Linked DNA regions of Macaca mulatta. The protein of the gene in region 2 purifies or fractionates together with the protein of the main gene of each other region. This does not show direct contact. Links are inferred from orthologs where the notes say so. Each region holds a gene or a part of one and is shown on either strand. Other genes may lie near its edges. The genes, in order: HDAC6, TUBA1B and CCT6A.

What was found.
Region 1: the proteins of TUBA1B (region 2) and HDAC6 purify together in Homo sapiens (affinity purification with western blotting; 4 studies listed by BioGRID, with this or other methods). This does not show direct contact. The link is inferred for Macaca mulatta from reciprocal best matches to the Homo sapiens genes TUBA1B and HDAC6.
Region 3: the proteins of TUBA1B (region 2) and CCT6A purify together in Homo sapiens (affinity purification with mass spectrometry; 3 studies listed by BioGRID and IntAct, counting the BioPlex papers as one, with this or other methods). This does not show direct contact. The link is inferred for Macaca mulatta from reciprocal best matches to the Homo sapiens genes TUBA1B and CCT6A.

What each region holds. Positions count from the first base shown.
Region 1 is NC_133426.1:48,890,622-48,900,216, forward strand, and holds part of HDAC6 (protein deacetylase HDAC6), read left to right. Parts: intron 1-3,330; coding exon 3,331-3,457; intron 3,458-3,566; coding exon 3,567-3,632; intron 3,633-3,726; coding exon 3,727-3,786; coding exon of another isoform or gene 3,787-3,795; intron 3,796-3,854; coding exon 3,855-3,944; intron 3,945-4,283; coding exon 4,284-4,390; intron 4,391-4,479; coding exon 4,480-4,547; coding exon of another isoform or gene 4,548-4,559; intron 4,560-4,787; coding exon 4,788-4,956; intron 4,957-5,044; coding exon 5,045-5,173; intron 5,174-5,368; coding exon 5,369-5,537; intron 5,538-6,235; coding exon 6,236-6,369; intron 6,370-6,949; coding exon 6,950-7,018; intron 7,019-7,129; coding exon 7,130-7,322; intron 7,323-8,734; coding exon 8,735-8,884; intron 8,885-9,595.
Region 2 is NC_133416.1:56,289,456-56,299,802, forward strand, and holds TUBA1B (tubulin alpha-1B chain), read right to left. Parts: upstream 6,728-10,347; 5' UTR 6,635-6,727; coding exon 6,632-6,634; intron 5,063-6,631; coding exon 4,840-5,062; intron 4,723-4,839; coding exon 4,574-4,722; intron 4,273-4,573; coding exon 3,292-4,272; 3' UTR 3,116-3,291; downstream 1-3,115. UniProt on the Homo sapiens protein: Tubulin is the major constituent of microtubules, protein filaments consisting of alpha- and beta-tubulin heterodimers. Microtubules grow by the addition of GTP-tubulin dimers to the microtubule end, where a stabilizing cap forms.
Region 3 is NC_133408.1:72,116,626-72,126,874, reverse strand, and holds the start of CCT6A (T-complex protein 1 subunit zeta), read right to left. Parts: upstream 5,252-10,249; 5' UTR 5,168-5,251; coding exon 5,031-5,167; intron 4,598-5,030; coding exon 4,534-4,597; intron 2,678-4,533; coding exon 2,543-2,677; intron 1,675-2,542; exon of another isoform or gene 1,541-1,674; intron 1,423-1,540; coding exon 1,249-1,422; intron 749-1,248; coding exon 645-748; intron 1-644. UniProt on the Homo sapiens protein: Component of the chaperonin-containing T-complex (TRiC), a molecular chaperone complex that assists the folding of actin, tubulin and other proteins upon ATP hydrolysis.

The DNA.
Region 1 (9,595 bases), on a different chromosome or scaffold from region 2:
ACCCAAGAATGAAGGCCCATTGTAGGGAGCAGAGGACTACGCTGCTGCTGCGGTGTTTGTAGATCTGTTTTCCTGAAAGGCATTTCCCCAGAATGGGGACAGGGAATGTCCACTGACAGGTTGCAACGTTAGTGAGTGTGGGCAAGTACCCGGGCATTAGATGGGATCCTGCCAGATGTCAGAACAAAGGAGGCCTCTTCTTTGGGGTAGCATCTCTTTTCCCTCAGCCTTGCCAAAGGTGTGTCTGTTCTACTTACCTTTCCCAGTCTAGCTTTGGGCTTTGTTGGTCATCTCTACTGTTTTATTATGGTGGGTTTTTAATACTTCATTAATTTTTCTGGTTTTATCTTTATTATTTTTTTCCTACTACATTCTTTATTTTGTTCATTTCTGGCTTCTGGAATTGAATGCTTCAACATTTATCAACTCATTGGCCGATCTCATTTCATCTATAACTGTACCCACTGCCCTCTTCCTGTTTTCCTTCAAAGCTAATCCCAGATACCTACCATATAATTTCTCCTGTAAATATTTCAGAATGCATCTCTAAAACATAAGTATACTTTTTTAGAAAAGCATTACCTTAGTATCAATACCTGAAAATTAACAAGAATTATTTTCTCAATCTGCCAAGGGTCTGTCATTCAAAGAATTCTTTAATATCATTAATCATTCTTTTTGTTTGAATAAATGCATAGGAGGCTATAGCTGTGTGTTCTTTCGTGGGTACACTATTGACTACACACACAGATGTGAAACATTGTGTGCACATTCAGTGCATTCTTCCTTATAAACAAACATGTGTAAACAAACAAACAAAAAGAACATGTCCATACCCTTGAATCTCCCAGCTCCCCATCTCTCAGTCTCTGAACTCCAGCAGCAGGGAGACAAACTGGACAGTCCTTAAAATGCTGTTGTGAAGACAAGGAAAGCACATGATCTAAAACTAAGTAGTTAAACAAATAACTTTGGTGCATTGGTGATTCGGTGGGGCTCTTCAGAAGGGATTTTGTGTGCATTGACCTGGATCTGTACTGGATTTCTCCAGAAAAGAAACCTCAGGTTATCTTGGGTGCCCCCTTATCCTGCTCAGCATGAGACAGAGCACCCTGGGGCTCCTGGAATCTCAAAGTCTACTTTCTAGAAATTCATTGAAGTCTCTTATTCTCTGACATCCTTTCTTCCACTCTCTCTTTCTGGGTTGCTGTTTATTTACAATTTCTTTACTGTATTTTGACCGGGGTGGTAGGAGGGTGAGGTAAACCCGTGCTATCAGTCCACCATTTAACTTGAAGGTGGTTGAACTTATTTTGAATTTCCCTTCTGTTTTCTTTTTAAACTTAGCTTCCTTGAGTGCTAGTTCTGTTGTTTGTTGACTTTGATGGCTCTCTTTTAGAGTCAGCTTTCTTCAGATCTTTTCTTTTTTTTTTTTTTTTTTTTTTTTTGAGACGGAGTCTCGCTCTGTCGCCCAGGCTGGAGTGCAGTGGCCGGATCTCAGCTCACTGCAAGCTCCGCCTCCCGGGTTCACGCCATTCTCCTGCCTCAGCCTCCGGAGTAGCTGGGACTACAGGCGCCCGCCACCTCGCCCGGCTAGTTTTTTTGTATTTTTTAGTAGAGACGGGGTTTCACCGGGTTAGCCAGGATGGTCTCGATCTCCTGACGTCGTGATCCGCCCGTCTCGGCCTCCCAAAGTGCTGGGATTACAGGCTTGAGCCACCGCGCCCGGCCAGATCTTTTCTTTATTGCTGTCTTCCCCGATGATTTTTTTTTCTTTTTCTTTTCTTTTCTTTTCTTTTTTTCTTTTTTTGAGACAGTCACACTCTGTCGCCCGTCTCCCAGGCTGGAGTGCAGTGGCCCAATCTCAGCTCACTGCAACCTCCACCTCCTGGGTTCAAGCAATTCTCCTGCCTCCATCTCCCAAGTAGCTAGGATTACAGGCACATGCCACCACGCCCAGAAAATTTTTTGTATTTTTAGTAGAGATAGGGTTTCACCATGTTGGCCATGCTGGTCTCCAACTCCTGGCCTCTACTGATCCGCCCACCTTGGCCTCCCAAAGTGCTGGGATTACAGGTGTGAGCTACCGCACCCGGCCCCTGATGATAATTTTTATGTCCTACTGTGTTTCTCTTCCTCTAATGATTAACTTACCAAAAGTTTAGAACCAAGATTTATCTATCAATGTCAAAAATAAAACAATCATCCTCCACCCACTCAAGACCAGAGCTTTTGCATGTTTTTATTCCCAGATTCCAAGCTCTTTTCCCTCAATTTTAAGAATCTTTTTATATCACTTGCATTAAATTTCACAACTACATTATCAACACATTAAAATGTGACTCTTAAGTTTGTCTAGATTCAGTGCATACCACTATTTCTTGCATTTCCCTAAAAAAGCTGCCTTAGATCCTCTCTGGAACAAGGCAGGGGGTAAATGACCAGATAGAAGGATGGATGGATGATAGATTATTCATTTTGCTTTCCCCAGTCAGAAATAAGCCCTCCCATGGCCCCTTGCTGGGCTTTCTGTTAAAACACGTGCATCGCATCTTTTCAGTATCTATTTTGCATGTCGGTCCATCTCATCCCTCTGAGTGCTCACTCTCTTGCCTATAAAATAGAAGAAGTAGTAGAGGTGACCTGTAAGGCATTGGGGAGAAGGAATTGCCCTCTCACTGGCCTTGTGGCAGCCCCAGCCAGCACCCCGTCTCCAGTTCCACCCACAGAAGCAAGTCTCACCCCTTCCCCCCAGGTCTCTCTACTTCCTGCTAGAGAATCACCCAACTCCCCAGCCTGGCTTGAGGCTTTTTTCAGCCTTAGCTAGCTCCCTGCAGCTAAGAGCCCCATGCTCCATTTGGGACTCCAGTGTCACAGTGTTTGACCTGCTGTTACTACTACCTTTGTCATAGGGGCAGGTAGTGGGCAGACATGATCTAGAATACCCCACAGAGTCAGGAGCCCCCATGATCTGGGATAGACCCTAGAGCTGAGCCTGAAATTGGGTGGGCACTGAGGGGGCAGTGATGTTTGCTGAGGAAGAGGTTCTAGTGAGAGACTAAATGAATGAGTGAGTGAGGTAATGGATAAATAAAGATAAGAATGGATGAATGGTAAGATAATTAAATTGGTGACTGAATGTAAGGATAAATTAATGGAAGAATGGATTCATAGATTAAATAATTAATGGGGAAATTAATGAATGAGAGAATGAACGAGTGGTTGAATGGGGAAATGAGTGGTAGAGGAAACTGGCAACTGTTGGGTTGGGAGTGTCTATGGGGATTGACTCTTCTCCAACTCTCTTACCTCTTTTTCTTCTGCCCCCAGTGTCCTCTATTTCTCCATCCACCGCTATGAGCAGGGTAGGTTCTGGCCCCACCTGAAGGCCTCTAACTGGTCCACCACAGGTTTCGGCCAAGGCCAAGGATATACCATCAATGTGCCTTGGAACCAGGTCAGCATCCACCCACCCTTTGTCCCCAAAGTGAGGCCCAGCCCTGCCCTTCTGTCAGCAGCTCGGGACAGGTGGCTGAACATCCCCCACTACACTCCTGTGTCTGCAGGTGGGGATGCGGGATGCTGACTACATTGCTGCTTTCTTGCACGTCCTGCTGCCAGTCGCCCTCGAGGTCCTGGGGGTCTGGGGTGTGTTGGGGGAGAGGAGTGGCCTTGAAGGTTAGGCCGTGAGGGCAGGTAGCCTCATGGAGTCTGTTCCTCCTTCAGTTCCAGCCTCAGCTGGTCCTGGTGGCTGCTGGATTTGATGCCCTGCAAGGGGACCCCAAGGTAAGGCAGGCTCCCTGGGGCGGCAGATGGGCTGCACGGAGCCAGACTGACCCTCCATGTCCCCCCAGGGTGAGATGGCCGCCACTCCGGCAGGGTTCGCCCAGCTAACCCACCTGCTCATGGGTCTGGCAGGAGGCAAGCTGATACTGTCTCTGGAGGTGAGTGACTCACCTTCGTCCCTCAGCCTGTGGATCCTGGAGGGCTTAAGAACGAAGCTTTCAAGTCCAAAAGGAGTTCCTGGCCCAGCATTTCACTTACTAGCTGGACAACCTTGCATAAGTCACTTCACTTCTTTGTGCCTCCGCTTTCCTTCTGTAAAACGAGCATAATAATGGTAATCACCTCATATCATTGTCCAGTGAATTCAATGAGGCCCCCTTCTAAGTTCCTTGTTGCTTGACATTTGGTATGCACTCTCTTATTATTATCATCATTATTGTTATTCCCTGGTCATGTCTGGTCCTTTCCTGATCCCCCTTCACAACTCCTTGCCCCAGGGTGGCTACAACCTCCGCGCCCTGGCTGAAGGTGTCAGTGCTTCGCTCCACACCCTTCTGGGAGACCCTTGCCCCATGCTGGAGTCACCTGGTGCCCCCTGCCGGAGGTGAGCCCCAGTGGAGGAGGGGAAAGCGGGAGCCTCACTGCCTGCCCACATTCCTTGACCTCATATTTTCTCCCTGCCCTGCCCTGCAGTGCCCAGGCTTCAGTCTCCTGTGCTCTGGAAGCCCTTGAGCCCTTCTGGGAGGTTCTTGTGAGATCAAGTAGGAAGTGGGGTATGGGCCTGGTGTGGGGTGGACGTGGGATGAGCCCTGGGGCAGACTGTCTTCGGACTTTCTCTGACTTTACTGGGCTGCCTTGGAGGTAGAGGGTCAGGCCCTCTCTCTCCCTGGGCCCTGGTTTCAGGCCTCCCACCCCATTTTCTATTTGGGGTCACCTGAGTTCCAGAGTATGACGGGGATTCAGAGTGAGAGGGTAGGACAAACGTGGCCTCCCCCTTGTAGCTGAGACTGTGGAGGGGGACAACATGGAGGAGGACAATGTAGAGGAGAATGAGGAGGAAGGACCCTGGGAGCCCCCTGTGCTCCCAATCCTGACGTGGCCAGTGCTACAGTCTCGCACAGGGCTGGTCTATGACCAAAGTATGATGAATCACTGCAACTTGTGGGACAGGTAGGCATTTGGAGGGCTGGATGAGTAGGTGTTGGGGGTCCCTCCCCATCAGGCACTAAGCCCCTACCTCTCATTTCCCCACTGCTAGCCACCACCCTGAGGTACCACAGCGCATCTTGCGGATCATGTGCCGTCTGGAGGAGCTGGGCCTTGCTGGGCGCTGCCTCACCCTGACACCGCGCCCCGCCACAGAGGCTGAGCTGCTCACCTGCCACAGGTCAGACCCTGGTGCCTGGGGTGGGTGGCTTCCCAGGACTGTGGATGAGGTCTCAGGAGCTGGAGCTTGGGTTTCCCCTCCCAGGGAGCTGCTGCAGGACTTGAGAGGGGCTGAAGTTCCTGTCTTGCGGGTGGGTTCCAGGGAGGGGATGGACCCTCCTCACTGTCCTGCCGGTGCGCCTCTCTGTACCTCCAGTGCTGAGTATGTGGGTCATCTCCGGGCCACAGAGAAAATGAAAACCCGGGAGCTGCACCGTGAGAGTTCCAACTTTGACTCCATCTACATCTGCCCCAGTACCTTCGCCTGTGCACAGCTTGCCACTGGCGCTGCCTGCCGCCTGGTGGAGGCTGTGCTCTCGGGAGAGGTGTGTCCTCTGGGCTGGGGAGAGGAGGACCTGGGGAGAATAGAAAAAGAGGGCCACCTGCTGTTTCTGGAGGCTCTGAGAGAGTCAAGCAGGGCCTGAGGAAAGGGGCCATGGGGAGGGGCACAGGAGGGGGCGGGCCTAGAGGCTGCAGTAATAATGGAAGGAACTGGAGAAAGGGAAGGGTGGCCAAGTGCGGTGGCTCACATCTGTAATCCTAGTGCTTTGAGAAGCTGAGGTGAGCTCAGGAGGTCAAGGCTGCAGTGAGCCATGATTGTGCCACTGCACTCTAGCCTGGGCAACAGAGTGAGACTCTGTGTCAAAAAAAAAAAAAAAAAAAAAAGGTTGGGCACGGTGGCTCATGCCTGTAATCCCAGCACTTTGGGAGGCCGAGGCGGGCGGATCAAGAGGTCAGGAGATCGAGACCATCCTGGGTAACACGGTGAAACCCTGTCTCTACTAAAAAACACACAAAAAATTAGCCGGGCGTGGCGGTGGGCGCCTGTAGTCCCAGCTACTCAGGAGACTGAGGCAGGAGAATGACGTAAACATGGGAGGCGGAGCTTGCAGTGAGCCTAGATAGCACCACTGCACTCCAGCCTGGGCGACAGAGCGAGAAAAAAAAAAGAAGAAGGAAGAAAGGAAGGTGAGGGTGAGCTGGAGGGCAGGCTGTCCGATCTTAGCACCCTGCTGCTTCCTAGGTTCTGAATGGTGCTGCTGTGGTGCGTCCCCCAGGACACCACGCAGAGCAGGATGCAGCTTGCGGTTTTTGCTTTTTCAACTCCGTGGCTGTGGCTGCTCGCCATGCCCAGGCTATCAGTGGGCGTGCCCTGCGGTAAGGACTCCCTGGGGACCCCCCAAATCCTGATCCTTGTGGGGACCTGGATGCTCTCCCCAGCCCATTGCTTACTCATCATGCCCCATGGTCCAGCTCCCCAGGACTTCCCCAGAAAGAAGTAAGGGTACAGCCCTTACCCAGAGAAGGACTGAGGATGGAGCCTCTCAGTGCCTATTTAGATAGGACCCCCAGATCATATTACCTGGGTGCTTATAAAACAGGATTCAGGGTCCCACCCCAGCATTTCTGGCCTATAGCAGCTGCCTCGACAGAACCCAGGTCCAGGCTCCTGATGCATACTCCAGAAGACCCAAGAACCAGTCCCCAGCATTAGCTGCCCAAGGTGCAGGGTCCAGTTCCCTAGCAATGACCCAGAAGAGCCCAGGGCCCAGCCCCGAGCACTTGCTCAGGCCTACAGGGCAGCCCTCGGGAACCAGGATCAGACTTTTCTCCTTAACTGATAGGACTAGGGTCCTGCCACTCAGCACTAAATGCCCCTACAGACCCCAGGGGTCTGGCCCAGCCCTCTTCCAGGGGGTGAGTATCCTAGGTTACTGAGGTGCTGTCTTCTCCCCAGGATCCTGATTGTGGATTGGGATGTCCACCATGGTAATGGAACTCAGCACATGTTTGAGGATGACCCCAGGTAAGGGGCTGCAATCAGGGGCCGCAGTGTGATCAGGGAGGTGGGTGAGCACCTCAGGGGTACTGGAGCCCCTAACCAGCCATGGCCCCCTTCCTACCCCCTCCCCGGCAGTGTGCTATATGTGTCCCTGCACCGCTATGATCATGGCACCTTCTTCCCCATGGGGGATGAGGGTGCCAGCAGCCAGATCGGCCGGGCTGCTGGCACAGGCTTCACCGTCAACGTGGCATGGAACGGGCCCCGCATGGGTGACGCTGACTACCTAGCTGCCTGGCATCGCCTGGTGCTTCCCATTGCCTACGAGGTACAGCTCAGGATAGATCGCAGGATGTATGTGACATGCCTGTGCAGGTGGCAGCCTGGACCTGCCTCCTCAGCATGTGTGCGTCTGACTGCCAGGTGGCTGATGATATGAGACAGCCCATGGGTGATTAATGAGGCTACCGGGGCAATTGGTGACTGTGATCACTTTGTGTATTTGCCTGTGCACAGGTGACTATATGACTGCCTTCTCTGTGTGACACTATGTGGGTGACTATCTTGGCTGTGTGTGTGAGGGCCTTCTGACTATGCAGCAGTGGCCCGTGTCCTGGCTGGATCTGTGTTGTGTGTGTGCCATCACAAGTGCTTGAGTATGTGTGTGTGCGACTCTGTGCAGGCAGGTATTTCTCACCTTTTCTCTGTGTGATGGGTGTGATATTGTATGTCACTAAATGCAACCATCTCTGTGACAGCCTGTGTGGGACCCTCTGGATGTGAAAGGCTGTGTGTTACAGCAGTCACTGTCTGGCTGTCTGCCCTGGCTATTTATGTGTGTGTCTCTGACTGGGAGGTAGCTGCCTTCCCTCTGTGTGAGCTGGGGGGCTAGTGGCTTGCGTATGGCTGACTCTGGGAGGGAGGGCGGGGGTGTAAGCACCACTCTGTCACCCTGGGCGCTGATGTGCATCTTTGGATCTGCACGTGCGCGGGTGGCCAGGACAGCCTTCTGTATGTGTACAACTGTATGTGCAAGTAACCAGCTCTTGTGGACACACCAGAGTGCATGTCACCATTGTGGCTGTGTGGTAATGGCATGTGTATGTGACTCTGCAGGGTGGCTGTGGGTTATTGTCCTCTTTGAGAAACTATGTGTGTGTGTGTGTGTGTGTGTGTGTGTGTGTACATGACTAGTGCAGATATGTAGTACTGGTCTATATGGGACTGTGTGTGGCAGTACTTGTGGCTTTGTGTGACTATCTTCTCTGTGTGTGGCACTTGCATTGCCATCTTCTGTTATGGAAGTGTGCAAACACCTCTCTTTGACACTATGTATATAAAACCCTATATGTTGTGTATGTGTGTCCCACATTTGACCCTGGGGTGTGTGTGTGTAAGGACATGTCTCTGTCTCTCTGTTTTTCATGTCACTCTCTTGACATCTGAGTCTGTCTCATGTCTCATGACTATGTCTCATGTCCCCATCTGTCCCTTTCTACTGTCTCCAGGTCTCTAAGTCTGCATCTGTTTCTTCTGAGTCTGTATTTCTTTTCTTCCCCTCTTCATTTTCAGTCTCTGCTTCTGCATCTCCCAGTCTGCAGATCCTGTGTCTCCATCTCTCTGACTGGCATCTCCATGTCTTCATTTGTCCTTTTCTCCATGTCTCTGGGTCGCCATCACTTACTATCTACCAAAAGCCCCCACCCTCATGCTTATACATCTCTTCTCTCCCTGCCTCAGTTTAACCCAGAACTGGTGCTGGTCTCAGCTGGCTTTGATGCTGCACGGGGGGACCCGCTGGGGGGCTGCCAGGTGTCACCTGAGGGTTATGCCCACCTCACCCACCTGCTGATGGGCCTTGCCAGTGGCCGCATTATCCTTATTCTAGAGGTAATTCTCTCTTGGTCCCTCTTCCCACAGTGGGAGGGTAGTTTGGAAATGTTGGCACCATCACTCAGGACAGTTTCCTGAAATCTCCTTTGAGTGTCCCTGCCTGGGATTGTTGGCACATACTGGGTAGTAATAAGAATAACAGCAACATTAACAGCCTTAATTGAGTGCTCACTATGTACAGAGCACTCTTCTGAGCACTTCATGTGTCTTATTCATTCAGTTACTTGGCAAGGCAGCCTTATGAGGTAGGGTCAGCTTACCTCATTTTCCTCTCTCAAGATCAGGGAAACTGAGGCACAAAGAGGTGTGATGACTAGCCTGAGATGGCACATTTACTGATGGCAGAACCAGGACTTGAACCCATGCAGCCTGGCTCCAGGGTTTGTACTTTTTACTCTACCTAAACTGCCTCTAACAAGTTCCTGGGACAAAGGAAATTCACTGACCTTTGTAAATGGCCCAGTATCCCTATGCCCTGTGCCTCAGTTTCCTCATTTTTATGAGGCAGGCTAATCATGGAGGAATATCTGGCATATGGTAAATGCTGAATCTGTTGGATCTGGTTTTTTGTTCTTTTGTTTTTCTTTTTTTTTTTTTTTTTTTTTTTTGAGGCAGAGTCTCACTCTGTCACCCAGGCTGGACTGCAATGGCACAATCTCAGCTCACTGCAGCCTCCACCTCCTGGGTTCAAGTGATCCTCCTACCTCA
Region 2 (10,347 bases):
CCCTTGTAATCCCAGCAGTTTGGGAGGCCAAGGAGGGAGGATCATTTGAGGTACGGAGTTTGAGACCAGCTTGGCCAACATGGTGAAACCCCGTCTGTACTAAAAATACAAAAATTAGCTGGGCATGGTAGTGCACGCCTGTAATCCCAGCTACTCGGGAGGCTGAGGCATGAGAATCCCTTGAACCCAGGAGGCGGAGGTTGCCAGTGAGCCAAGACTGAGCCACTGCACTTCAGCTTGGGCAATAGAACGAGACTGCATCTCAAGAAAAAAAAAAAAATAGTAGTCATCTTCATGTATAAAACAATTTTTTAATTTTTTTTTTCCTTTGAGATGGAGTTTCACTTTTGTCACCTAGGCTGCAGTGCAATGGCATGATCTTGGCTCACGCAACCTCTACCTCCCGGGTTCAAGCAATTCTCCTGTCTCAGCCTCCCAAGTAGCTGGGATTAGAGGTGCCCACCACCACGCCCAGATAATTTTTGTATTTTTAGTAGAGATGGGGTTTCACCATGTTGACCTGGTTGGTCTCAAACTGCTGACCTCAGGTGATCCGCCTGCTTCAGCCTCCCAAAGTGCTGGGATTACAGGAGTGAACCACCGTGCCCAGCTTAAAATTTTTTATTGTATATTTTTGAGAGTTTCACTCTGTCACCCAGGCTGGAGTGCAGTGGCATAATATCGGCTCACTGTCACCTCCACCTCCCATGTTCAAGTGATTCTCCTGCCTCAGCCCCTGGTGTAGCTGGGACTACAGGCACAGGCTACCATGCCCAGCTAATTTTGTATTTTTAGTAGAGTTGGGATTATGTTGGCCTCACTGGTCTCAATCTCCTGACCTCAGGTGATCCACTTACTTTGGGCTCCCAAAGTGATAGGATTACAGGCGTGAGCTGCCGTGCCCAGGCCTCTCAGTTCTTTAAAGGTGTCTGCTGCTGGGAGCACCCAGTGGCTCATGCCTGTAATCCCAGCACTTTGGGAGGCCAAGGTGGGCAGATCACGAGGTCAGGAGTTCGAGACCAGCCTGGCCAACATGGTGAAACCCCGTCTGTACTAAAAATACAAAAATTAGCCAGGTGAGGTGGCGGGCACCTGTAGTCCCAGCTACTTGGGAGGCTGAGACAGGAGAATGGCATGAACCCGGTAGGCGGAGCTTGCAGTGAGCTGAGATTGTGCCACTGCACTCCAGCCTTGGCAACAGAGCGAGACTCCGTCTCAAAAATAAATAAATAAATACACAAAAATAAAAAATAAATAAAGGTGTCTGCTTTCCCTTGGAGCCTGTGATGGCTACATTTGTGTTGCTATGCTAGGCCTGCAGGCTCCCCACCAAAGCTTCTTCTCTGAATTGTTCATGCCAAATCAGATTATCTTTGGAGCTGAGAGCTACAGTCATCCCTTAGTATCCCTGGAGGATACCAAAATCCATGAATGCTCAAGTTCCTTATATAGAGAGCTCTAGTGTTTGCATGTAACCTGCACACATCTTCCTGTATACTTTAAGTCATTTCCAGATTACTTATAATACCTAATACAATGTGAATGCTATGTAAATAATTGTTATACTATATCATTTAGAGAATAAAGGGGACAAGTACATGTTCAGTTCAGACACAACTATCCATTTTTCCAAACATATATTTTGAGATAGGGTCTTTCTCTGGCACCCAGGCAGGAATGCAGCAGCACAATTACACTGGCTAATTTGTTTTGGTTTTTGTTTTGTAATGACAGGGTCTCCCTAGGTTGCCTAGGCTGGTCTCAAACTCCTGGGCTCAAGTGATCCTCCTGCCTTGACCAAAGTGCTGGTATTATAGGCATGAACCACCAGGGCCGGTTGCTTCCAAGTATTTTAAATCCAGTTAGTCAAATCTAGATATGGAAACCACAGATAGGGACGGCTGACATTTTGTAAATTTGTAGGATTTATGGGCTAAAAAAAAAAAAAACTGGGAAAATTGTAGACTTCCCTACTTTTTTTTTTTTTTTTTTTTTTTGAGATGAAGTTTTGCTTTTGTTGCCCAGGCTGGAGTGCAATGGCGCAATCTTGGCTCACTGTAACCTCCTCCTCCCAGGTTCAAGCAATTCTCCTGCCTGTCTCCCGAGTAGCTGGGATTACAAGGGTGAGCCACCACGTCCAGCTAATTTTGTATTTTTAGTAGAGATGGGGTTTCTCCATGTTGGCCAGGATGGTCTCAAACTCCTGACCTCAGGTAATCCGCCCGCCTCCGCCTCCCAAAGCGCTTGGATTACAGGTATGAACCACTGTGCCTGGCCTCTTCTCTGCTTTTTCAAAAAAGCCTCATGCATTCTTTCAGTCTTCTTGGTCTTTAGCAGCCATCAGGGTCTTTAGCAGCCACAATTTTCCTGTACTTTACGGATTTGAAATCTACATTTTCTCCTAGGTTAAATCCTCTATTTACATTCTCTGTGCCTACAAGTCTGTTACATGTAGCCAAAATATTTGAAAGGATGTAAACCATGCCAAATGCTATACGTTTTTATCCTAACCTTTACAAATGTTGCCACTTTGTACAAATGTTTGCCACATGTAATGTAGTCCTCTTCCACCCATGCATATCACTTATTGTTTAGCCTTCTTTCTTAGCATGACTTTTATTGACTACCATGAATTCTGGTCCTTTTTCCTATCACAATAGGGCTGGAAACTGGTACATTGACAGCTGGAAATCCTCGTGCTGGGATTAGAGGCATGAGCCACCATGACCAGCCAAAAATCACTGTGAAATTTCTTACACTAACAAGGTTAGCAGGCCACTTTAAACAGCAGCAACTTAGCGGATATTCAAAACGTATACTTCCCATACATAACTCATTAGTAACTACCCAGTCATACTCTGAAGAGCTAAATGAGCTCTAGATTAGCAGAATGACTTTCATCAGTTTCCCCGCCCCCTACGCCAAGGGATGAGGTGGTAAACTAGTCTGAGAATCTAGGGCTTCTGCCTTTCTAGTCCCTTGAGCTTCCTTTTCCCTAGAGGTGCCTGCACAGGAAGTAGGATCCCTGACATCACCAGCAAATTGCAGACTCGATACTCCAAATATAGATGAATCCAAAAACCAAGGCACTTTTAGAAAACACAGGAAACAAAGCTTTTGATGTTAATGACTTTACTTTGAGACACGATGGAAAAATATTATAGGTACACATGGAAAAGACATGATCACCAAGTGAAAACAATCTAACCAGAAAGCTTTAATGTCTGTCAGCTAAGCTGAAGCTGAAATCCTGGGAGCATGACATGCTGCAGTGCCAAAAGGAATGGATAATTAGTATTCCTCTCCTTCTTCCTCACCCTCTCCTTCAACAGAATCCACACCAACCTCCTCATAATCCTTCTCAAGGGCAGCCATGTCTTCACGGGCCTCTGAAAACTCGCCTTCCTCCATCCCCTCACCCACATACCAGTGAACAAAGGCACGCTTGGCATACATCAAGTCAAACTTGTGGTCCAGGCGAGCCCAGGCCTCGGCAATGGCTGTGGTGTTGCTCAGCATGCACACAGCTCTCTGAACCTTGGCCAGGTCTCCACCAGGCACCACAGTGGGAGGCTGGTAGTTGATGCCAACCTTGAAGCCAGTGGGGCACCAATCCACAAACTGAATGCTGCGCTTGGTCTTGATGGTGGCAATGGCAGCATTGACATCTTTGGGAACCACATCACCACGGTACAACAGGCAGCAAGCCATGTATTTACCATGGCGAGGGTCACATTTCACCATCTGGTTGGCTGGCTCAAAGCAAGCATTGGTGATCTCTGCTACAGAAAGCTGTTCATGGTAGGCTTTCTCAGCAGAGATGACAGGGGCGTATGTGGCCAGAGGGAAGTGGATGCGGGGGTAGGGCACCAGGTTGGTCTGGAATTCTGTCAGGTCAACATTCAGGGCTCCATCAAATCTCAGGGAAGCAGTGATGGAGGACACAATCTGGCTAATAAGGCGGTTAAGGTTAGTGTAGGTTGGGCGCTCAATATCGAGGTTTCTACGACAGATGTCATAGATGGCCTCATTGTCTACCATGAAGGCACAATCAGAGTGCTCCAGGGTGGTGTGGGTGGTGAGGATGGAGTTGTAGGGCTCAACTACAGCTGTGGAAACCTGGGGCGCTGGGTAAATGGAGAACTCCAGCTTGGACTTCTTGCCATAATCAACTGAGAGACGTTCCATGAGCAGGGAGGTGAACCCAGAACCAGTTCCCCCACCAAAGCTGTGGAAAACCAAGAAGCCCTGAAGACCGGTACACTGGTCAGCCTGTAGGGAAATAAAAAAAATAATATTTTAATGCCAAGAAACATTCTCTTAGAATTTCTATTTAAAATTGTTAGATTATGAACCATCTCATTGACATAAGCATAAGGAAATGGGAAAACAAACATATCCACAAACTGTCCATAACCTAGGGGACTATCTGATTTAGAAGTCCAATGAACATAGTAAGCAGTCTATTCCACATTTTGGTAGGTGCTAAAGAATGAATGTTGTCAGTCACTCCACCCAACTTGCACTGGTACCATCTCGCCGCATTAAATGCATATTTATATATTGTGCTTACCAGCTTGCGAATTCGGTCCAACACAAGGTCAATGATCTCCTTGCCAATGGTGTAGTGCCCTCGGGCATAGTTATTGGCAGCATCTTCCTTGCCTGTGATGAGCTGCTCAGGGTGGAAGAGCTGGCGGTAGGTGCCAGTGCGAACTTCATCTGGAGGAGGAGGGAGAGAAGGATGGAGGGAGTGGGTGAGTGACCAGCGGAGCCCCCAGGACAGACCTCCTGTCCCAGCATCCTGGGATCTCACTTGGGTTACTGAAGTCAACTCACCAATGACCGTGGGTTCCAAGTCTACAAACACGGCCCGGGGCACATGCTTGCCAGCGCCCGTCTCACTGAAGAAGGTGTTGAAGGAATCATCTCCTCCCCCAATGGTCTTGTCACTTGGCATCTGACCATCGGGCTGGATGCCGTGTTCCAGGCAGTAGAGCTCCCAGCAGGCATTGCCAATCTGGACACCAGCCTGGCCAACGTGGATGGAGATGCACTCACGCTGTGGGAAGGAAAAAGATATCGCAATTTAATCTATTGGTGGCTGTCAGGTGGAACAAAATACTCATGCAATCTTTATTTTTTTAGAGATAAAGTCTGTCACCCAGGCTTGAGTGCAGTGATGCCGTCTAGGCTCAAGGCAGCCTAAACCTCCTGGGCTTGAGTCATCCCCCGACCCCAGCCTCTGGAGCAGCTGGGACCACAGGCACAGGCCACTACGCCTGGCTAATTTTTTCATCTTTTTTTGTGGAGATGAGGTCTGGCTGTGTTACCTAGGCTACTCACGTAATCTTAAAACAAATTTCCTTTTTTAAAGCGACGTAAGACGTACTACTCTTCTGAGAACAGCTTATCGTCTACATTGCTTTTAATGACTGTTACCTTCCCATCCTAAACTGGGAAGGCCTCCTTCCAGACCAATACAGCTCAGTCACAGCTTCCTCCTTTGGAGGACCAAGACAGGAAGGTAGGCATCCACCCAGCGCTCAGGCCCCAGAATACCACTTTAGACTAGGTGGCCACATTTCCGGGCAGCTCCTAGCACAGGAAGCACGTGGCCAGACCAGCGCATAAGAAATGTCGGTCCGCAGGGACATGGGGCGGGGCTCTGCGGCACAGGATGAATGCGCAATTCAGGGCGCGCGCTCTCGCGCCCCCCGGCGGCGCTGCAGAGGCACGAAATGGCCACGTCTGCAAAGGCGCTGCCCAGGCCGCCCATCCTCCCTTGCCCGCCGGCATCGGGCTGGGCCTAACACCTCCACAGCAGTCTGAGCGAAGTTGGGGATTATCGGCGGCCCAGATCTGGGTCAAGATCCGATTTCCGTTCCCTCAAAATCCCTCACTGCCACCACCTGCTCCCCTGAATTCCTAACGCAGCAGAGAGACAGGTGGCCTCTACAGACTGTTGTGGTCGAACTGTCCTAATTCACTGGTGTATAGCGGTACATTGACAGGGCCCTTCCCCACATTCCTCTTATTGCTTTCATTAAAAAAAGAAAACTCAGGTTAACAGGAGACACGCCCTGTAGCCCTAGTCTCGCCGCGACCCAGAGCGCATGCGCAGACTGCAGTGGCGGTTTCCCGCCCAGGAACGGCGTGAAGGTAACGGTCGCGCGTGCGCGCTTTTGTCTCCAGCTGCTTCCCACCCCCGCTTTTCGCGCTCAAGAGGAAGTGAAGGCTGGAAGATGTTAGAGTCCGCGCGCGCGCGCGTCCACCCAAAGCGGGGGAAGGGCATGCGCTGGAAAGGACTGCGGGGACTCGAGGGACCGCTCCCAGTACAGAGTTACGCGCTGAAAGAGAGCTCCGGATACGGCAGAAGGCAGCCGGAGCCCCCTCATCCCTTCCAGAGTCCGATAAGAAATCCTGGCGCCCCTCGACCTTTCCGGGCCCCAGCTATTTACACACACCGAGGTCTCACCACTCCCGCCCTGGCCTCTCGCCTTGTTTTCCGCCCTCCAAAAGGACGGCTCTGGAACCAGACCTCCCCGGCTGTATACAGGGTCCCCGCGCCCCGCCAGCTCGCTTTTCCCTGCTTCCCTGAAAGCAGCCGGGAGCCGCGCGGCTCACTCACCATAGTGGCTAGGGATTAGGAGGCGAAGGCGGAAGGAGCAGACACCGGGTCCCGGTTACCGTCCCCGACAAGCTAAGAGTCGAGGTAAGTAACGCACTGGGGCGGGACCGGCGCTGGAGCCTCTTAAGTAGCGGCTTTGGAGAGGGGGCGGGCACAGGCGGTGTCGCGGCCGCGGGCCCCTCCTCCGGCCCCGTGCGCCCACTGGGCGCCCGGCCTGGCAGCCGCAGAGGCGGGCTCCGGGCCCCGAGCCCCCTCCCTTCGCGCGGCCGCGGGGCGGGGTCCTCCGCGCCTGCGGGCCGCGCGCGCCAGTGCTGCAGTGTGCGGCGCATGGCTGCGAGGGCCTGGCGAGGGGCGGGCGCGAGTCGGAAAGACACCGACCAGGGAATGGGTGACGAGGCTTGACTTAATTCGGAGGAAGCCTAGGACTTGAGAGAGCCATACAATTTGAAAGACGAAGCACCGTGAAATGCAGAAAGTTGTGGTTCGGATAGCTCAGCTGATTAATTTCGTGTTGCCACAGTTTGTCAGTGAGTTTTGCCTTTTTATTTTCGCAGTTCCTTTTAAGGCAGTGCATTCTGTACTTACCTGATAATGTGAAAAACGCGAGCTTTAGAAAACCGAATAGGTGTACATGGTTTACTTTAATGACTTGTTCTCCAAAGTAAGAGTACCAAATGCTGAAAGCAAGTAGATATTCAGTCATTCGAAGAGTGCCCAAGCATTTAACATTGAAGCTGTTAAAAGGGCAAAGTAGGCCCCAATTTTAGATCTAAGCCATCAATTTTATGAAACAGTTCTAGGGGCTTTTTGAAAAGGAGATTTAAAAACACATTTCAGTGGTGGTAGCTGAGTTGAAGAAGTGAGGAAAGAATTGGATAGGGAGGAAATAAATTGACACTGAAGGATGTTAGGAAGTAGAGATTCCTTGTGCAACTTAAGAGTTTTGTAAATAAGACTGCTTGGCCTTGTGTCAAGATACATCAATTGGTTATAGCTTAGTGCTTGGAGGCCCACATTATAGGAGTAGACTAGGTCTCCCTCCGCCCCGCCCCTGGAAAATCTATTTCAAGACGATAAACCACATTGCTAATCCTTGGAAATGCAGAAGGTGGTTAGGTTTAAAATGTGGCTTTAAAATGGTCCTAGCCGAAACGTATTGATGTTACTATTCAGAATATCTGCCCAGTATAGGAGGAACAAAAAGGTTAAACCTAAAACACTAAAAATTCATAGTTCATATTCAGTTATTAGCCTATTAAAATTTGGTGCAGCCTTCATCCTTCGCACCGAATTTCAGACAAATAGCAAATTTATGTGGTTAATAAGTGTATGTTGTAAGGAGTTATATATGTGTATGTCTATATATGTGTGTCTCCACCCATCTGAACCTGACCTGCAGACCAAGAGGTTCTTGTTTATTTCTGATAGTTTTGGTAGTCTTGTTAAAGGCATTTGATTCAAAATGCAAATTTGCACACATTTTTCCAACTGGGTAGAGGAGGCAGGAATATATTTGAATATTGTTCTCACTTATTTTGTTCCTCTTCTTATTCTTAAAAAAAAAAAAAAATTAAGCCTGTCAATTTTAGCAGTGAGGGATGGTATACTAATTTTAGTGACACTAATATTAATAAGTTCTGATAACCCACTATCATCGGACCACCCCCACTCTTATTCTTAAAACGAATCTGAAAACCATAAGCTTGCTTTAACGGGAAGAATGAATGTTAGGGAACCACCCTGCTGAACTCCATTTTGCTGTCGGCTCTGGATAAAGCTATTTTATCCAGAAAAGCTATCTCTGGGCAAATGATTTGAATAGTTTAGTAACCGCAATAGGTTTCTGCTAGAACCATTTTGAAGCCACCCTTTAACCCTAACCACTTTATGTATTTCCAAGGATTAGCGATGTAGTTTATGGTCTTGGGATAGATTTTTCTGGGGGAGGGGAGAACCTCCCTTCTAGCTCTCTGCAGATTATCAGAGCCACCACTTCAGGGATTTCCTCCCAGGGGCCTATATGTCTCCCCAGATACCTTCCTAAAACTATTAGCTTTTATCTGTGTATTCCCTGTTGTGAATGAGTAAGTATTTGAGGGCCTTTTTTTTTTTTTTTTTTTTTAGGTCTTGATTATACCTCAGGTTTCACAGAGTAATCAAACTAAAAGAGAACTTCTTTTTATTTCATTTTATTTTTTTGACCGAAACTCCATCTCCAAAAAAAAAAGGGGGGGGAATTGTTATGTGATATTGGGACATCTGAACATTTTGTTGTCATAGGAGTTTGTCCTTGCCAGCTTTTTTTTTTGTTGTTGTTGTTGTTGTTGTTGTTGTTGAGATGGAGTCTTGCTCTGTCACCCAAGCTGGAGTGCAGTGGCACACTGCGAACTCCGCCTCCCAGGTTCACGCCATTCTCCTGCCTCAGCCTCCCTAGTAGCTGGGACTACAGGCACCTGCCACCACGCCCGGCTAATTTTTTGTATTTTTAGTAGAGACGGGGTTTTGCCGTGTTAGCCAGGATGGTCTCGATCCCTTGACCTCATGATCCACTGGGATTATGGGCATGAGCCACCGTGCCTGGTCCCTTGCTGGCATTATTAAACTGCTTCCTTAGCTGTAAACATCTTATGACCACGGGTTGTATCTGGTAAGGAATATGCTTTGCTAGTTTACATTTGGAATTGATTTTGAAATTGTGTTACCCTAGCCCTTTTTTTTTTTTTTTGAGACAGAGTTTTGTTTTTGTCGCCCAGGTGGGAGTGCAATGGCGCAATCTCGGCGCACGGCAACCTCTGCCTCCCGGGTTCAAGCGATTTTTCTGTCTCAGCCTCCCAAGTAGCAGACATTACAGGCACCTGCCACAACGCCCAGATTATTTTTGTATTTTTAGTAGAGAAGGGAGTTCACAATGTTAGCCAGACCAGTCTCGAACTCCTGACCTCAGGTGATCCGCCCGCCTCGGCCTCCCGAAGTGCTGGAATTAAAGGCGTGAGCCACCGTGCCTCGCCGTGTTACCCTAGCTCTTCCGTTCCTGTTTCCCTAACATAATACCTCCTCTACTCTTCTCCTCTACTTCTCTAATCTTAAGGAGAGATGAAGGGTGAAGGTCATTTTTTGTAACTTCTTCCTGCTGACAGTGGACATTGATCTTTGGGACAGGATTCTCTCCTAGGAATTTGCAGTTGGTGGCTGGGTGCCGTGGCTCACGCCTGTAATCCCAGCACTCTGGGAGGCCGAAGCAGGCGAATCACAAGGTCAGGAGGTCGAGACCATTCTGGCTAACACAGCGAAACCCCGTCTCGACTAAAAACATTAAAAAATTAGCTGGACATGGTGGCGGGTGCCTGTAGTCCCAGCTACTCAGGAGGCTGAGGCAGGAAAATGGAGTGAACCCAGGAGGCGGAGCTTGCAGTGAGCCCAGATCAGGCCACTGCACACCACCCTGGCTAACACCATGAAACCCCATATCTACTAAAAATACAAAAAATTAACTGGGCATGGCGGCACGCACCTGTAGTCCCAGCTATTATGGAGCTGAGGCAGGAGATTCTCTTGAACCTGGGAGGCAGAGGTTGCAGTGAGCCGAGATCACGCCACTGCACTCAGCCTGTAAGACAGAGTGAGACTCTATCTCAAAAAAAAAAAAAAGAATTTGCAGTTGGTTTCTAGGGAGCCACAGGAGGTCTGTGTTTGCATGATGTTCTGATGTTTTGTTT
Region 3 (10,249 bases), on a different chromosome or scaffold from region 2:
GGAGGCCGAGGCAGGCGAATCACGAGGTCAGGAGATTAAGACCGTCCTGGCTAACATGGTGAAACCCCTTCTCTACTAAAAATACAAAAAGAATTAGCCAGGCGTGATGGCGGACACCTGTAGTCCCAGCTACTCAGGAAGCTGGAGCAGAATGACGTGAACCCGGAAGGCAGAGCTTGCAGTTGAGCAGAGATTGTGCCACTGCACTCCAGCCTGGGCCACAAGAGTGAGACTCGGTCTTAGGAAAAAAAAAAAAAAAAGCCAACCATATATTGTACAAAGCACCCCTAAATTTCTAAACACAGTTTATTTTTTGTTTTTTTGGGACGGAGTTTCACTGTTGTCACTCAGGCTGGAGTGCAATGGTGTGATCTCAGCTCACTGCAACCTCCACCTCCCAGATTCAAGCGATTCTGCTGCATCAGCCTCCCGAGTAGCTGGGATTACAGGCGCGTGCCACCACGCCCGGTACACCCAGCTAATTTTTGTAATTTTAATAGAAACGGGGTTTCTCCATGTTGGCCAGGTTGGTCTGAACTCCTGACCTCAGGTGATTTGCCCGCCACGGCCTCCCAAAGTGCTGGGATTACAGGAGTAAGCCCCCATGCCTGATCATTAGTATTTCACAGTATTCTACCACCTACCTTGTATCAGTTTCAGATTTATGTTTCATCTCCATGATCTCAATCATGAAGAGATCAATAGGTTCATCTTGTTTTTTAATGGCCAAAATGGAGTCCACTACAGCCTGCAATTGGAGGAGCATAACCATTAAGTAAATTCAATTTGCAGCAGCAGAAACATCTTGCTTTTCCGAAGGTTTCATTTTACAATTATACACTGATTTAAGTCTTTTTCTATGAGCAAACAGAATATATGTAAACAGCAACAACTGAAGCCATTTACATTTCTGAAATCTCAATCTGTAATTCCCAAACATTAACATTAATTAACATTAACAATTCTCCTGTTTCATTAAAAATACTGGTAACTTGGAAGCTTTCTAGTAACAAAATCTCCACTTTACAAACCTTTTAATGAAAGCCTCAATTTTACTTTTATAACCCAGTTACATATACTATTATTTGAATTTCCTCATTTTAGAGACACAAATTAGGTATTATTGCCCCAAAAATGAACCTATACAGCACCTTGTAATTGAAATTGGGAATTATATTCATGTTTCTACTATCAGAGATTTTCTATATAGGTGTATTATACCAGACACAGACAACATTTAATATATACCTCTGTTAAGACATCTGCAAGTTCAGCATGAACTTTAGTACGAAGAGATGTTCTGGCCACATCTATAAGTGTTTCCCTGTCCATCTCTCTGCTTACTTTGACTTCTTCCAAAAACTGAAGGGCCTTTTCCTTTGCAGCTTCAAATCCTTCAGTGATTATTCTGGGATGAAGGCCCTACAATAAACACACATTAACACTTGCATCAAGTAGGTACAACCACAGTTCCTGACAAAGTTCAGTTAATTCCTGAAGGGGTATTCTGGATCATCATACCTTTGAACACGAGGTAATATAATGTGCTGGCTTTCAGAATACATTTAAAAGGATAAATATTCCTTTCAATGCAGAGGAGAAGAACAGGTAATGCTCTAGCACAGGGTCAAAGCCAAGGAAACTATAAAGCACACTTGGGTATTCACTGTGCAAACCACTCTGAATCATTTCAAAATTGACACTGTGTCCCAACCAAGGACTCGCAGATGGTAACATTATTCTATCTTTTCTTTCTTTCTTTTTTTTTTGGAGACGGCGTTTCGCACTTGTTGCCCAGGCTGGAGGCAATGGCACGATCCCGACTCACCACATCCTCCGCCTCCTGGGTTCAAGCGATTGTCCTACTTCAGCCTCCCAAGTAGCTGGGATTACAGGCATGCGCCACCATGCCCGGCTAATTTTTGTATTTTTAGCAGAGATGGGGTTTCTCCATGTTGGTCAGACTGGTCTCGAACTTTCGACCTCAGGTGATCCGCTCACCTCGGCCTCTCAAAGTGCTGGGATTACGGGTGTGAGCGACCACGCTTGGACTATTCTCTTTTCTATAGGTAATCTCAAACTAATTCACATCATTTACTAATTATTTAATAAAGACTGCTCTCTTTTTCCAGGAAATTCTGACAACAGATTCATACTCACTGAGGTTTGTTTTAACCTTGGAACTAGTCAGGGCTTAAAAAAGTGGAATTTATCCAAATATAAGCTTTTGGATGCTTTTTTCCTAACAAATATTCCTAGTCCTAAACATTCCACTTTTAGATCTAAATTATTAATCTACACTAAGGACAGATACAAATCACATAGGCAATGCAACTTCATTACAAAATTATTTTCAGGCCAAGAAAGGTTCCATAACCTGTCCAAGGTCACAATTTGTTTTAGACCAGGACAAAGACCCAGATTTAAGCCCCCTAGTTCTACTGTATGGCCTCAGCTATTAACAGCACATCAATTTGTATAAATAAGTATCAGACACTTCCTATATACAATAAAATATTACAGAAACAAGAGTTGTGCATACTTCAGAAATGTAGAGATCCGCCTGTTTCAGTAGTTCTCCAATGATTAGGACATTGGAAGTCGTACCATCACCAGTTATATCATCCTGGGCTGTTGCTACCTTTGCTATTAAGGAAGCTGTTGGATGTTGAATTTGCTGAAAGTAGAAAAAGAATGAATCACTTAAAACAACATGAAGCAGTCTAAATATAACACAAACAAAATGTAGGAAGGGCCTCTTTAAGTGCTATCTACTTGAAAAAGCTACCCAAGTGTTTGGCTACAAATTACTTCGATTAGCTATCACGCACATGCAATTATGATTGAAACGTTTTCATGTGTAATTTATTTCCCAGGTTATCTCTACTTTACAGATGAGGAAGCTTGAGGCTAAGTAAAAGTTTACTCAAAATGACAGAGCTACCAGTTAACAGTAAAACATAATTTTACATCCTTGCCTCTTTATGGCAAGTGTATGGCTCTAGTGAGAATAAGTCAGGTATCTCCTAAAGGGCACACACATCGTAATTATTTTTGTAGGTTTGTAATTTTTTCAAAGAAAACTGAAAGACTTCTGGAGATTGGAGAGAGATTCCAGTGGGAGGAGACTTCTGAGGTGGTAGCAACAATTTATTTCTTAGCTACAGTGGTGGTTGTGTGTGTCCATTTTATAATTTTTTCTTAAATTGTAAATGTTCAACGTGCTTCTCTCTACTTATGCTGTATTTCTCACACACTAAAACCCAAATAATTTTTTGTTTTGTTTTGGAGACAGTCTCTGTCACCTACATTGGAGTGCAGTGGCACAAACTCGGCTCAATGACACCTCAGCCTCCCAGGTTCAAGCAATCGATTCTCCTGCCTCCGCCTCTGGAGTAGCTGAGACAACAGGCGTGCAGGACCACGTCCGGCTAATTTTTGTATTTTTTGTAGAGACAGAGTTTTACCACGTTGGCCAGGGCTGGTCGTGAACTCCTGGCCTCAAATGAGCCACCTACCTCAGCCTTCCAAAGTGCTGGGATTACAAGCATGAGCCACCACACCCAGCCCCCAAACAATTCCGACATCAAGTTTAACTATGCTCCACTTTTCCAACACGGGCCACCATTGAGCCCACTAAAAACAAACACTACACCTCCTAGGTTACCAAGTCCTTACTAAAGATATTTCATTTGGATGTTGATAGCTTGGTACGCTACTAGTAAAACCCTAAGTATTATTCTGAACTCAAATCAGCAGGAAATCATTTCCTGTTCTTGAACTGCTAAGTTTTGGGAATTCAGGGGATGAGTAAAACGCATACTCCCCCCAATAATCTCATATTCTCCATCCCTAAGACTTGCAAAGAGACAGATTTCAATCCCCTCCACTTGGAGATGCAGATGAGACCTAACGGAGAAATTGCTGTTTTAAAAAGAGAAAAACCGGCTGCGTGCGGTGGCTCACGCCTAGTAATCCCAGCACTTTTGGCGGGCGGATCACCTGAAGTCAGGAGTTCAAGACCAGCCTGGCCAACACAGTGAAATCCTCTCTCTACTAAAAATACAAAAATTAACTGGGAGTGGTGGCCCGAGCCTGCAATCCTCGCTACTTGGGCGGCTAAGACAGAAGAATCGCTTGAATCCGGGAGGTGGAGGTTGCAGTGGGCCAAGATTGTGCCACTGTGCGACACAGCAACACTTCGTCTAATAAAAACTAAAAAAAAAAAAAAGAAAAAAAGAAAAATCATCCTCATGCATTTTGCCCATGTGATTGTGTCAACCTCTCAATTTTTCAAATTTTATAATAATTAACTTTAATATACAATTACAGTCCTTTAGCCCAGACTGTGAATAGCAAAAAAGCAGGAATTCAAAGGCAGAGCTGTCAGACTCCAGGCACTGTACTATTACTGATTACATGCCACTTCTAAATGTTCTCCTGCCTTGAAAACGGACACTGCAAATCTTTCCACAAAGCAAACAATCTACGGAAAATCAAGACCTTTCTGACCTAGAGCAGAGCACCTCTCACCATTTCGTGAAGCAGCACATTGCCGTCTTTAGTAAGTTTGATGTCTCCAGCGCCAGAAACGAGCCTGTTTAAGGGACAGAAATGAATCAGAAGTGACTTTTCAACGATAACTAAAAGTCCCATTAGAAAACGGGCTCTTCCCAGATCTTACGGAGCCAGGGATATGTGGCTAGTTATCTCCCGCAGGCTGGAGGAACAGGTGTAGTGCCCACCCCGTCCCCGCAGAGATTGTGCCGAGTCCTCAGAGTGCCTGGAAGCCCCAAAGGGAGGGGAACGCCGCGCTCTAGAGACGCTTTGTTCTCCCCAGAGACGGCATGAACGCTGGAAGAAATGGCTGGGACGGTGGGGCTTAGCAGAGAACAGGACCGACCCCGAAGGACGCGGAGAAGGGCGGCTGCGGAGCCCCGAGGCGGCGGGCTCCAGCCCGTGGTCCCGGACCAGCCAGGTGCGTGGCGGCGCGCGGTGCCCACCCGGCCCTCCCTTCAGCCCCGCCTCACATCTTCATGGTGCCCTTGGGCCCCAGGTTGGTCCTTAGCACGTCCTGCAGACCCCGCGCCGCGCTGATGTTGACCGCCAGGGCCGCCTGCGCTCGGGCCACCTCGGCCTTGGGGTTCAGGGTTTTCACCGCCGCCATCGCTGCTCCAGCGGAGGAAAAGGAAACGAGGCTGAGAACCCAGAGCCGGCGCGGCGTGGCCAGGAGGAACTATCCGGGTCTTCTGGAAAAGTCGGCGCGTCCGGCCCGCCCCCAGCGTGCCCGCGCGCCTCCGCCATTGGACCACAGGTCGTCCGGCGCCCGCCCATTGGTCCGTGGCTGCACGGCGCCTACGGTCCCACCCCTCGCGCGGCGGCCGCGGCGTCATTGCGCACGGGAGGAGCCTATTCCCGGCCGACCGTGCTCCTTGGTTCCGGTGTCGCAGCTCAGCGGGGCCCAGCTTTGTGGACCCGGGAGCCCAGGACGCAGGCGGGGCTTGTGCTTCGCGGGGGCAGGGCGTAGGGTGGGCCTCCTCCCGCCTCTACTCTCGCGGTTTGCTCCTCAGTCTCCTTTCTTTGCTGATTTTATGCCTTTCTTTCTTTTTTTGAGACGGAGTCTCGCTCTGTCGCCCTGGCTACAGTGCGGTGGCGCGATCTCGGCTGACTGCAAGCTCCGCCCCCCGGGTTCGCGCTTTTATCTCTTTCATTGGAGCTTTCTGGACCCTGTGCTTGACGGTGCCCTAGGTGGCTTGGAGACACACGCGAGTCTGATAAGCACCCTGCCCCGGGATCATGCGGTGCTGTGAGGCCTAGCGAAGATGAAGATAGAATGCAAGGTAGAAAGTGCTGGATACCTTTAGAAAGCTGCAGAACTGGTGCGATGGGAGTTGAGACGTAAGAACCTGCCCGTCCGTAGGGCTCTGGATGCTGCTGAGGCCCGAGGCCCCCATGGCACATTTGAAAACTCACCCTTGTAGAGTCATTCCTGCCTTTGAGAGGACTCCCTATTAAGGTAAATTTCCAAAGAGCTCCACAATTGTTTCCAGTATCCAGTGTCCCGCCAAATACCAGGGATTCCGTAACACGTGATATTTTACTTTATTTATATTATTTTTGTAGACATAGGGTCTCACTATGTTGCCCAGGGTGGTCTCAAACTTCAGAGTTCAAGTGATCCTCCTGAGTTCAAGTGATCCTCCCGCCTCGGCCTTCCAAAGTGTTGGGATTACAGGCGTGAGCTGCCGCGCCCGGCTGATATTTTATTTTTAATAAATAATGGAAATTGTTCTGAATTCAAAAGGCACCAAAGGGCATGTAGTGGAAATTAAATCTTCCTCCCACCTCTAGTTCAACACTAGAGACAAAGTTACCCCTGGATACTCTATGAATTTTCGGAATGCTTTCTGAATTTATAAACTTATATATGAATATAATCATTTCCTCACACAAATGGCAATTCATAATACACACTGTAGGGTGTGTTATACTTTAAGTGTCTTGGAGATTGTGCTATATCAAGACTAATAGGAAGTCCTCGGTAACAGCTGCGTGATGTTCTTTGTAAGAATGACACAACTAGGGGCCAGGGCTCAGTGGCTCACGCCTGTAATCCCGGCACTTTCGGAGGCTGAGGCAGGGGCATCACTTGTGCCTGAGAGTTCAAGATCAGTCGAGGCAACATAGCGAGACTCCATCTATACAAAATATACAAAAATTAGCCGGGTGTGGTGCTGCACGTCTGTGGTCCCAGCTACTTGGGAGGCTGAGGTGGGAGGATCGCTGGAATCTGGGAGGCGGAGGTTGCAGTCAGCTATGATCTTGCCACTGCACTTCAGCCTGGGCGACAGAGCTGACCCTGTCTCAAAAAGAATGATACAACTAACTGGTCACCTACTGACTAATGTTTAACTTGTTCCTAATCTGCTATTCAGGCTGCAGTGAACATCTGGATATATGATGCTTTTAGGTGGGTTTGTGTATTTGAGAATCACAAAAACATCTATATATGTGACTAGTAGCACTGCACAATAGAAGATGAGTTATTAGTTCCATAGGCATTACATGGTGTGCATTCAGATTTATTATAACTGCTGTTAAAAATGTTATGAGGAGGCCAGACATGGTGGCGCATGCTTGTAATCCCAGCACTTTGGGAGGCCGAGGCGGGCGGATCACTTGAGGTCAGGAGTTCAAGACCATCCAGGCCAACATGGTGAAACCCCGTCTCTGTAACAATACAAACATTAGCCTAGCCTGGTGGTGTGCATCTGTGATCCAAGCTACTAGGGAGGCTGAGGCATGAGGATTGCTTGAACTCAGGAAGCAGAGGTTGCAGTGAGCCAAGATCATGCCACTGCACTCCAGCCTGAGTGACAGAGCCAGACTCTGTCTCAAAAAAAAAAGGCCAGGAACAGTGGCTCACACCTGTAATCCCAGTACTTCGTGAGGCCGAGGTGGGCAGATGACTTGAGGTCAGGAGTTCAAGACCAACCTTGCCAACATGGTGAAACCCCATCTCTACCAAAAATATAAAAAGTTAGCTGGGTGTGGTGGCGCATGCCTGTAATCCCAGCTATTTAGGAGGCTGAGGAAGGAGAATCATTTGAATTCTGGAGATGGAAGTTGCAGTGAGCCAAGATCATGTCACTGCACTCTAGCCTGGGCAACAGAGCGAGACTCCTCAAAAAAAAAAAAAGGCCAGGCACAGTGATTCACGCCTGTAATCCCAGCACTTTGGGAGGCCGAGGTGAGCGGATCACGAGATCAGGAGTTCGAGACCAGCCTGACCAACGTGGTGAAACCCGTCTCTACTAAAAATACAAAAAACAAATTAACTGGGCATGGTGGCCGGCGCCTGTAGTCCCAGCTACTCTGGAGGCTGAGGTGAGAGAATGGCATGAATCCAGGAGGTGGAGCTTGCAGTGAGCCGAGATGGTGCCACTGTACTCTAGCCTGGGCGACAGAGTGAGACTCTTTCAAAAACAAACAAACAAAAAAAACCTAGAGGATGGGTTAATGGGTGCAGCAAGCCACCATGGCATATGTATATCTGTGTAACAAAACTGCACATTGTGCACGTTTCCCTGAATTTAAAGCAAAAAAAAAAAACAAAACCAGGTGTCGTGGCGCATGCCTGTATTCCCACCTACTTGTGTGGCTGAGGCAGAATTGCTTGAACCTGGGAGGCGGATGTTGCAGTGAGCCAGAATCGCAGCACTACACTCCAGCCTGAGTGATAGAGCGAGACCTGTCTCAAACATAAAAAGAATTTGTAAAAAACAGTAAGAAGAATTCCCATACTCTACCCACAGATCCTTCTATTGTAAACATCACATTTAACCCTGGAATAAGAAATTAACATTGATGCAGAATCCAATCTATAGATTTCATTCAAATTTTGCTAATTATATCATGAATGTTCTCTCTCTGGCCCAGGATTCTATTTATCTAGAATTACTCTTCACATTTACTTGTCACGTTCTTCAGTCTGGAACAGTTCTGCAATTTTTCAGTCTTTAATGATCTTGGCATTTTTTTTCAGTACTGTCCTGTTATTTTACAGACTGTTCCTTACCTAAGGGTTAGTTGATGTTTCCTTATGATTTTTTTTTTTTCAAATTTTTTAAAGACGGAGTCTCGCTCTCGCTCTTTGCCCAGGCTGGAGTGCAGTGGCGCTATCTCTGCTCTCTGCAGCCTCCGCCTCCCGGGTTCAACTGATTCTCCTGCCTCAGCCTCCGGAGTAGCTGAGATTACAGGCACCCACCACCATGCTGGGCTAATTTTTGTACTTTTAGTAGAGTTAGGGTTTCGGCATGTTAGCCAGGCTGGTCTCAAACTCCTGACCTCAGGTCATCTACCTGCCTTGGCCTCCCAAAGTGCTAGGATTAAATGCATGAGCCACTGCACCTGGCCTGATAGTTTCTTTTTTTTTTTTTTTTTTTTTTTGAGACGGAGTCTCACTCTGTCGCCCAGGCTGGAGTGCAGTGGAGCGATCTCGGCTCACTGCAAGCTCCGCCTCCCGGGTTCCCGCCATTCTCCTGCCTCAGCCTCCCGAGTAGCTGGGACTACAGGCGCCCACAACCACGCCCGGCTAATTTTTTGTATTTTTAGTAGAGATGGGGTTTCACCATGGTCTCGATCTCCTGACCTTGTGATCCGCCCGCCTCGGCCTCCCAAAGTGCTGGGATTACAGGCGTGAGCCACCGCGCCCGGCCCCCTGATAGTTTCTTATGTTTAAATGCAGGTTATGGCCGGGCGCAGTGGCTCATGCCCGTAATCCCAGCCCTTTGGGAGGCCAAGGTGGGTGGACCATGACGTCAAGAGATTGAGACCGTCCTGGCCAATATGGTGCAATCCCGTCTCTACTAAAAATACAAAAAATTAGCTGGGCATCGTGCTGCACGCCTGTAATCCCAGTTACTCAGGAGACTGAGGCAGGAGAATCACTTGAACCCGGGAGGCGGAGGTTGCGGTGAGTGGAGATCACGCCACTGCACTCCAGCCTGGGCTATAGAGCAAGACTCCGTTATCAAAAAAAAAAAAAAAACCAGGTTGTTCATTTTTGGCAAGAACACCAGAGAGTATGTGTCCTTTTCAAGGCATCATAGGAAGAGTCACATGATGTCAGTTTTTCTCATTCCTGGTGATGTTAACTTTGTTCACTTGGTTAATATTTGCCAGATTGCTCTACTTTAAAGTTACTAGCTTTTCTTTGTATTTAATAAGCATTTAATAAACATTTTGTGGGAAAATATGTGACTGTTCTGTTTTTCATCAGAACAGTGCCTACTAATTTAAGCATCCATCGATTTTGTTGTTGTTTTTGAGACAGGGTCTCACTGTGTCGTCCAGGCTGGAGTGCAGTAGCTCAATCACACAGCTTACTGCAGCCTGAACCTCCTGGGCTCAGCTTCTTATCTCAGCCTTCTGAGTAGCTGAGACTTCAGGTGTACACCACTATGCCTGGCTAATTTAAAACTTTTTTTTTTTTTTTTAGAGATAAGGTCATGCTATGTTGCTTGGGTGAGTTTCAAACTCCTAGGCTCAAGCAGTCCTCCTGCCTCAGCCTCCCAAAGTGCTGGGGTTACAGGCATGAGCCACTGTGCCCAGCCCATCAATAATTTTTGCCTGAAACAATTATTACTGTGATCTTTGTACGAAAGTCCTCTGTGGATCTGTTGCGTGCTTACATGTCTTGCTGTGTGTGCCAAGAATGCAAGGCCCAAGAATGCTCTTTATTTGGGGC